2 linked regions of the Arabidopsis thaliana genome follow. The protein of the gene in region 1 binds, or shares a complex with, the protein of each later gene. Each region holds a gene or a part of one and is shown in the gene's direction. Other genes may lie near its edges. The genes, in order: AT3G58700 and ATL5.

The links.
Region 2: AT3G58700 (region 1) and ATL5 share a complex: the UniProt entries of both Arabidopsis thaliana proteins name them as parts of the large ribosomal subunit.

Annotation. Positions count from the first base shown.
Region 1 is NC_003074.8:21,709,622-21,713,873, forward strand, and holds AT3G58700 (Ribosomal L5P family protein), read left to right. Parts: upstream 1-1,823; 5' UTR 1,824-2,039; coding exon 2,040-2,042; intron 2,043-2,131; coding exon 2,132-2,239; intron 2,240-2,333; coding exon 2,334-2,376; intron 2,377-2,696; coding exon 2,697-2,892; intron 2,893-2,996; coding exon 2,997-3,195; 3' UTR 3,196-3,483; downstream 3,484-4,252. Other genes in the region: AT3G58690 (Protein kinase superfamily protein), read left to right, coding at 85-323, 439-574, 775-1,033, 1,131-1,263, 1,344-1,625. UniProt on the Arabidopsis thaliana protein: Component of the ribosome, a large ribonucleoprotein complex responsible for the synthesis of proteins in the cell.
Region 2 is NC_003074.8:9,268,566-9,273,554, reverse strand, and holds ATL5 (ribosomal protein L5), read left to right. Parts: upstream 1-2,089; 5' UTR 2,090-2,227; coding exon 2,228-2,230; exon of another isoform or gene 2,231-2,380; coding exon of another isoform or gene 2,381-2,383; intron 2,384-2,603; coding exon 2,604-2,673; intron 2,674-2,765; coding exon 2,766-2,984; intron 2,985-3,079; coding exon 3,080-3,159; intron 3,160-3,244; coding exon 3,245-3,361; intron 3,362-3,477; coding exon 3,478-3,782; intron 3,783-3,870; coding exon 3,871-3,982; 3' UTR 3,983-4,278; downstream 4,279-4,989. Other genes in the region: GLYR1 (glyoxylate reductase 1), read left to right, coding at 41-145, 288-398, 478-579, 664-765, 892-1,007, 1,097-1,175, 1,246-1,416, 1,523-1,606. UniProt on the Arabidopsis thaliana protein: Component of the ribosome, a large ribonucleoprotein complex responsible for the synthesis of proteins in the cell.

The DNA of each region.
Region 1 (4,252 bases):
AATTTTGGAAGATAATTGTTCAATTAGGGTTCGATTTATGTTCTGGGTATTGAATCTGTTATTGTTTTACCTGTCGATTTTTAGGGTTTGATTGTGAGGAAAAAGGCGATTGTCAGAAAGTACAAGATGTTACTGAAAATGGGTTGCAAATTTTCACCTTTAAGCAATTGCATTCAGCAACTGGTGGATTTAGCAAGTCTAATGTGGTTGGGAATGGTGGGTTTGGCTTGGTTTATCGTGGTGTGCTTAACGATGGCAGAAAAGTTGCTATCAAGCTCATGGATCATGCAGGAAAGCAAGGGGAAGAAGAATTCAAGATGGAGGTTTGATTATTTTTAGCTTACTCTTTGATCTTTATTTTTTCAAAGCTTATGCACATTTTGCTGTTTGCAGCGTTTTTGATTACTTGATTGATCAATTTTTTGTATCTGGTGCCAGGTTGAGTTACTGAGCCGTCTGCGTTCACCATACTTGTTGGCACTTCTTGGTTATTGCTCAGACAATAGTCATAAGCTGCTTGTGTATGAGTTCATGGCAAATGGTGGTCTGCAGGAACACCTGTATCTTCCCAACAGTAAGTTTCTTTTTCCAGTAGAGTTAGAAGTTGCTGCATGTTTGAAGTTGTCATCTGAAGACTCCAAATTTAGTCTATCTGTCTAGATGCTAACAATTTGAACATGAATCCTAGATAGTGTATAATAATTACGAATTGGTGAATATACGTCTGGAATTCTTGTTGGATTTGATAGAAAAATCTCTTTTTCTTGCATTTAGGGTCTGGTTCTGTCCCACCAAGATTAGATTGGGAAACTAGGATGAGAATAGCTGTGGAAGCTGCAAAAGGCTTGGAATATCTCCATGAACAAGTATCACCCCCGGTGATTCATAGAGACTTTAAGAGCAGCAATATTCTGCTGGACAGAAACTTCAATGCCAAAGTTTCAGATTTTGGATTGGCTAAAGTCGGATCAGATAAAGCTGGTGGACACGTTTCTACCCGTGTATTAGGCACACAAGGATATGTAGCTCCTGAGTATGTTTTTCACTCAATCATCTCTTTGTTCTTGTTTCCATCAGTTAACTTTGATAGGTTGGATACTAATACCAATATTTTCAATATCTTATGTCAGGTACGCTTTAACTGGTCACTTGACAACAAAGTCGGATGTCTATAGCTACGGTGTTGTCCTGTTAGAGTTACTAACCGGTAGAGTTCCAGTAGATATGAAGAGAGCTACAGGAGAAGGTGTTCTTGTCTCTTGGGTACGCGTTCCTTTCACAAACTGCTCTTGTGTCATTTCTTCTTGTCTTTGCTCTAATAACTTAACTTTTCCTATCTCCAGGCTTTGCCTCAATTGGCTGATAGAGACAAAGTAGTAGACATAATGGATCCAACACTCGAAGGACAATACTCTACGAAAGAAGTTGTTCAAGTTGCAGCAATAGCAGCAATGTGTGTTCAAGCAGAAGCTGACTACAGACCCTTAATGGCAGATGTGGTGCAGTCACTGGTTCCATTAGTGAGAAACCGTAGGTCAGCTTCAAAGCTTAGTGGCTGCTCTAGTAGCTTTAGCTTGGCTCGGTCTCCTAACTCTCCGGGTAAAGCAAGCATAGGTTCTCAATGAATAAATCAATCAGAGAAGACGAAATGTGAGGCTTTTATTATGTAACGGTATTTACTAAAACAGACAATGATGTAAACACTTGAGTGATCAAACATGGAGTCATAGAGATAATCATCAAATAAACTTTTTCGAATCTCTATGGGCTACTAGTTATTGGGCCAATCCTGACCCATTACTATATTCTACAGAGACGAGAATGATATTAGTTCATGAGAAAAAAGGTCACGTGAGGGAACGTGGGCTTGATGGAGAAAGGAGGGTACAATCGTCATTTTGAGTACTCGTAAAATTTGCTTAGAACCCTAGAAGGCTAATTAGAACTAGGGTTTATATAGTTTGCCGCTTCATCTCCGTTTCTTCTTTCCGATTCGTGTTTTCCCGTCGGCCGGAGATATATCGCAACCCTAATCCGAAATGGTCCGTCGCAGTTAACTCCTCTTCTTTGGTTTCACGTTTTTTGATGTTTCAAATAGAGATTTGATGATATATATTTTGGTTGAATTCAGGCGTCGGAGAAGAAGCTATCGAACCCAATGAGGGACATTAAAGTGCAGAAGCTGGTTCTCAACATCTCCGTTGGTGAGAGTGGAGATCGTCTCACCAGAGCCTCCAAGGTTTCACTTTTTTTTATCTGTTTTGTCTGGTTTTCATATCAACCCTGTGTGTATGCTCGATTTTAATGGAATTAGTTCTTCGATAACTTGGTAGGTGTTGGAACAATTGAGTGGTCAGACTCCTGTTTTCTCCAAGGGTAAGTTATTTTCTAAGTTGTATCAATTCATCGTTCGATCTCTGAGAAAATTTGCTGGAGATAGTTAGTGATCTCGACTAAAACAGGGGCACGATGCTTCTGAAGTTTAGGACGATGAGTTAGTTTTTTTGAAGGTCATTAGTTCTTACTTTTTGGTGTATGATTTTTAATTGTTACTGGCCTGGATCCATAGATAATCGTAGTGAGAATCAGTAGCTCTATCAATTGTTTTGTATCAATTGCTTGGAAGATGATTGTAACTTTGTTTTGGATGAAGAGAGTTTTGACATAAATCTTAACACTTGTTATCTCTTTTGCAGCTCGATACACTGTTCGTTCTTTTGGTATAAGACGTAATGAGAAGATTGCTTGCTATGTGACTGTCAGGGGAGAGAAGGCAATGCAGCTCCTTGAGAGTGGATTGAAAGTTAAAGAATACGAACTCTTGAGAAGGAACTTCAGCGACACTGGTTGCTTTGGTTTTGGTATTCAAGAGCACATTGATTTGGGTATCAAGTAAGTCTCATTCTTTCTAACACATACATAGAACAACTTTAGAGTGGCTTTTGTGTAACCAGTGATCAAACGTACGGGGTTTTTAAATATATATTTGATCTCAGGTATGATCCATCGACTGGAATCTACGGCATGGACTTCTATGTTGTTCTTGAGCGACCAGGTTACCGTGTTGCGCGCCGCAGAAGATGCAAGACTCGTGTTGGAATCCAGCATAGAGTGACGAAAGATGATGCCATGAAATGGTTCCAGGTGAAATATGAAGGAGTCATTCTCAACAAGTCTCAGAACATCACTGGTTAAACAAATGTGTCAAACAAATAGCTATCATCTGTTTTGTTTTTTTTGGGTTCAAATCGTATTTTCTCAGTTTTGTTTTGCTTCTCTGTTCTTCAGACATTTTGATTTTCCTTTATATATTTTGCGTATCTACTACTCCGACAAAAGCTGACTAAAGGTCTAAAACACATTTCCGAATTTTCGATACTCCGACAGGTAATGAACATTCTCTATATCTACATAACTCATCCCCAAACCGTAATTTTGTAAAATAACACTCTTAGTTCAACAATAATCGTTTGTGTTATGACTTATAATCGCATTCTGGTGTTATAGTTAATAACTGCGTTATAGTTTTTCATGAGGTAAAATGCATTTTTACATAAATTTTTAAACGAATCTTTGACTATGCGTCTATATGTTTAATATTTAGAAGACGTGTCAATTATATAATTACCCTGTGTACTTGTACATTATTTAACATAACAACAACTTCAAAAACATTATCCAATCATGTTTCATTGTCAATTCTCAGTTGCATCAGATTCGAGCGAATTATTGATTGGTTCGACATTAATTATCATGATCAGAAGTGACCAAATCAAACATATACATTACATACGTTTTGTGTGTGTAAACACGCGTTACATACATAAACTAATCAGAAAACCTATACAACCAGAAAATACAAGTTTTGGCTCCATTCTGACAGAAGAAGTTGGAGACAATAATGGAGTAATTAAACTAATAATTATGACACAGGCTTTTATAGTTTTATCTATTTATGATTTTACAATTTAATAAAGGACTGGAGGAATCTTGACTTGATCCCACACAGATTTATTATAAGCCATTTCCAGCCCAAATTTCTGTACACATTTATAAAATATTAAAAGTCATTTGTCTCTAGACCCATATATATTTTTTATTTTTTATTTTTACTTTTTATCTCAGATGAATTGCAGTTTTTATCTGGCCAAATTCATCCACAAAACGTCATCAAATGTGACATATTAAGATAGTATCCATTTGTCATGAAAAGGGCCATGTCACTCTCTGGAAACTTTTTGGTTAAGATCTC
Region 2 (4,989 bases), about 12 Mb from region 1:
AAGCAGTAAGTAAGCACTATAATCGCAGAAGATAGATAAAATGGAAGTAGGGTTTCTGGGTTTGGGAATCATGGGAAAAGCCATGTCAATGAATCTATTGAAGAATGGATTCAAAGTCACTGTATGGAACAGAACACTCTCCAAGGTAATTTTTTTTTTTTTTTTGTCTTTGATTGTGTTTTGGTATTATGGTTTTCTGATTTAGTTTTAGTTGTTCAGATCTGATAAAGTCGGAAACTTTTTGAGTAATTTAATGCAATTTTGGGAATTTTTGATGATTGTGACAGTGTGATGAGCTTGTGGAGCATGGTGCATCAGTATGTGAGAGTCCAGCTGAAGTAATCAAGAAATGCAAATACACTATTGCTATGCTCTCTGATCCTTGTGCTGCTCTTTCGGTATTTGAAATCCTTTTTTGCTTCTTTTGTGTGTGTTTTAGCATTGGTGATGAATGATATGAAGTAGTTGTTTGATTAGGTTGTTTTCGATAAAGGCGGTGTTTTGGAGCAGATATGTGAAGGAAAAGGTTATATCGATATGTCGACTGTTGATGCAGAGACTTCTTTGAAGATCAATGAGGTTGAATCTTTTGTACTTTAGATGCTGATGATAAGATTAGAAGAAGGTTGATTAGTTTGATTGAGCTGTGTTGCGCATTGGTAGGCAATCACCGGGAAGGGTGGTCGGTTCGTAGAAGGTCCGGTTTCAGGTAGCAAAAAGCCAGCTGAAGATGGCCAACTCATTATCCTTGCTGCTGGTGACAAGGTACAACTCAAAACTGTACTTATGGATTGATTGATAGATCTCAAGAACTGTTTTAGTTGGACTTAGTAGGAAGGAGCTCTCGATGTGCGGCTATAATCCGTTTGTGTTTTAATCCTTTTTTGTAAGGCACTCTTTGAGGAATCAATCCCAGCTTTTGATGTCTTGGGGAAGAGATCGTTTTACTTGGGACAAGTTGGAAACGGAGCTAAAATGAAGCTAATAGTGAACATGATAATGGGAAGGTGAATGTCCCGTCTCTTTTACAATTACTACCATTAGTAGTAGGAATGGAACATGGCTTCATGATCTTATTGTTTTTCGTCTGATACAGCATGATGAATGCATTCTCTGAGGGGCTTGTATTGGCTGACAAGAGTGGACTTAGCTCTGACACTCTTTTGGATATTCTGGTGAGGTGATCAAACTTTTGCAAGCTCTGAAATAATGGTGTTGGTTTGAATCGGTTTCTGCTATGGGCAGGATCTGGGAGCAATGACTAACCCGATGTTCAAGGGGAAAGGACCTTCAATGAACAAGAGTAGTTACCCACCAGCATTTCCATTGAAACATCAGCAGAAAGACATGAGGCTAGCTCTTGCTCTTGGCGATGAAAACGCGGTTTCCATGCCTGTAGCCGCGGCTGCAAACGAGGTCAGTTAGTTAGTTAGTTACTCAGAGACAATAACATATTGGCTCTCCCTCCTCTAGATTGGTTTCTTAGCTTGAATCTTAAAATATATGTTTCGGTTCTCGACAGGCTTTTAAGAAGGCGAGAAGCTTGGGACTAGGAGATCTCGACTTCTCTGCTGTGATTGAAGCTGTGAAATTCTCCCGCGAATAGCAAACTGTTTCAAAACATCCACTCATTTGGATTGGCTGAGATACTGAAATCATTGTTATCTTCCCAAATAGAGATTTACTCATTTGGCCAAACACACATTTTACTCCTTCACCAAATAAAAAGTCTTAACCACATATCCAGAAACGTTCATAGAGTTGCAACCTTACGTTTCAACTACTTTATGGCTAGTTCACTCGATATTGGTCCAGAGGTAGATCAAATTGATTGAAACAGAACCAATAAAATAGAGCAAAGTTTATTTGAAGTTGGTCACTGTTAAGGTTATATGAAACAAAGGAAGCAAAAAAGAACCCGTAGATGAGAAGATCAAAGAAATAACATTGCATCAAGATGGTCAAGAGAAATGTTCCTATGGATTATAGACAAACGAGGAGAGGAGGAGACCATTTCAGTAGAAAATTGGATTTCGTTGGAGTGTGAATGTAAAAGCCCATAGGCCCATTAATAATATAACTAGTAAAGCCCATTAACATTTTTCAGCCCACGAGGAGTTTTCTAGGGTTTTGTCTTATAAGATGTCGCATTTAGGTCATTCCGCCTCTTGCTTCTCTTCACTCACAATCTCACAGCAAAGCCTCTCGTTGCTAGAGGAATCAAACAATGGTAAACCCTAGCTTTAATCTCTATCTCTTCTCATTTCTCAATCGTTTCTTCTTAATCTTCTCTTAAGAAAATCGGGTTTTGATCTTCATTTCATATAGAAATCTCCTGCATTGCTTTTGATTAGATATCGTAACGAGAATTCGTGATCCTATGGTTCTATCCACCTTCGTAGATGTTTTTCTTCATGGGTTTTTGGTTTTATAACTTGCTTGAGAATTGAAATAGGAAAAGTTTGAGACTTTGCTTTTGTTCTGTTTTAGAGGTCACTGATACGTATTCAATGGAGTTCTTACCGTAGATCTTTGTTACCATCGAAGAACCTTTATATTGTTGGATCTTAGACTAATAAAATAAGATGATTTGTTGTTGGTAGGTGTTTGTGAAGTCCACCAAGTCGAATGCTTACTTCAAGAGGTACCAAGTGAAGTTCAGGAGAAGAAGAGGTAATAGATTGTTGATTCGTTTTATTCTGATGATATTGTTTGTTCTCTCTTTGTTTCAATCTGTTTCTGAAAATTATTTTATTTTTGTGTAGATGGAAAGACTGACTACAGGGCAAGGATCCGTCTTATCAACCAAGACAAGAACAAGTACAATACTCCTAAGTATCGTTTTGTTGTCCGGTTTACCAACAAAGACATAGTGGCACAGATTGTATCTGCAAGCATTGCTGGTGACATTGTTAAAGCTTCTGCTTACGCACATGAACTGCCTCAGTATGGTCTCACTGTTGGTCTTACAAACTATGCTGCAGGTATTGAATGTGTCATCTGGTATTGTTTTCCAATTTAATATGGTTGATTCTGTCTTTATGGCTTACTTATGTGTAATTTTTTTTTGTTGAACTAGCTTACTGTACTGGCCTTCTTTTGGCTCGCCGTGTTTTAAAGATGTTGGAAATGGATGACGAGTATGAGGGAAACGTTGAGGTATGTTGTGTGATTGGTTTCATCTTGATAATAAGAAGCATTGTTATTGTCTCTTGTTAGAAACTCAAGTCACACAATGAATCAGGCCACTGGAGAAGACTTTTCCGTTGAGCCAACTGATTCAAGGAGACCTTTCCGTGCTCTTCTTGATGTTGGACTTATCAGGACCACAACAGGAAACCGTGTGTTCGGTGCTCTTAAGGTATTAACTTGTTTCTCTTTTTTTGTTGTGAGTGCTCTTATTTGTCATTCTTCTTGAGCAAATGCTTATACTGGCAATTCTTTAATATCCTTTTGGTTCGCTGTTTGAATCTGTAGGGTGCTTTGGATGGTGGTCTTGATATCCCTCACAGTGACAAGAGATTTGCTGGGTTCCACAAGGAGAACAAGCAACTTGATGCTGAAATCCACAGGAACTACATCTATGGTGGCCATGTCTCAAACTACATGAAGCTGTTGGGAGAAGATGAGCCAGAGAAGTTACAAACTCACTTCAGTGCTTACATCAAGAAAGGAGTTGAAGCTGAGAGCATTGAGGAGTTGTACAAGAAGGTTCACGCAGCTATTCGTGCTGACCCCAACCCAAAGAAAACCGTGAAACCTGCTCCCAAGCAACACAAGAGGTAGGGAAACAGAATCAATCTAGTCTATCTATATTCTTGTCTTGTTGGTGTATTGGTGTCTCATTTGGTCTTCCATTTAACAAAACAGGTACAACTTGAAGAAACTTACTTACGAGGAGAGGAAGAACAAGTTGATCGAGAGAGTCAAGGCATTGAATGGAGCAGGTGGTGATGATGATGATGAGGACGATGAAGAGTAAATCAGTCAAGCCTTCTTTATCTCATGCCTCTTGTAGTTTTTTATCTTTTGAGCTTAATGCCTCAAATTTTCTGTTTTCAGACTAAAACACTCAGCTTTTGTGTTCACATTTTAATTGTGTTCGAGGATTTTGATATTGAGGATACATTTTCTTTGAAGTATCATTATCTTATTATTACCTTCATCATAATTTTCAAGAATTTGTATGACAATAGTTTGATGACTTGATTTTATCTGTAGTTTGCTATTGTTAAATGTAAGAACTGTTAGACTTCATCTATATGAACTAGAAAACATTGCTACAAGATGAACTAGATCACATTACTACAAGTTTAGAGCTAAATCACTGTTTAAGGAAATAACTCAGTATTCTCTTGGAGCTATTATTATATGTAGCCTTATCGGGTACTGGAACTGTCTTATGCAAAGTAGGAATGACTTATCTGCTCTGTAGTATGAAGTATGAACTATCCTGGAAGCTGACTAATACGTAATTTAATTTCTCTCGTGACTTCTTTAGTATATAATCGAGAATATGATGTGTATTATTTGGATTCCAAGTAAATTACATGAATGGTGGAGCCCTACATGAAAGGGACCACGATTTGTCCTTAGCAAAATTTTCCATAAATTTTTATGGTGAAAGGTAACAGCCATGAAGCTTCTCTTTCTCTACCAACAGAGTCAACGATCTGTATTCAATATACACAACGTCTCTTTGTTAATCCTTCCTCTACCATGTATGCTTAGTCTTAGATCCTTTTTTCACCTTACTAATGAATTCTTCTTTTTTCCTTGGTACTCTTGCAGCTGCAATAGGCTTCTTAACCCTTTTAAAAAAATTCAAATTCCAACAAGATAACAGAGAAGATGATTCTGCTTCTTTGTCCCCTTCATCAGTTCCTCCATCTTCTTTGTCTCGAACTTGGAAGCACCAAGTCTTCCCGAGCTTCCATGGGGCAGATGTTCGAAAAACCTTTCTTAGTCACGTCCTAGAGGCGTTCAGAG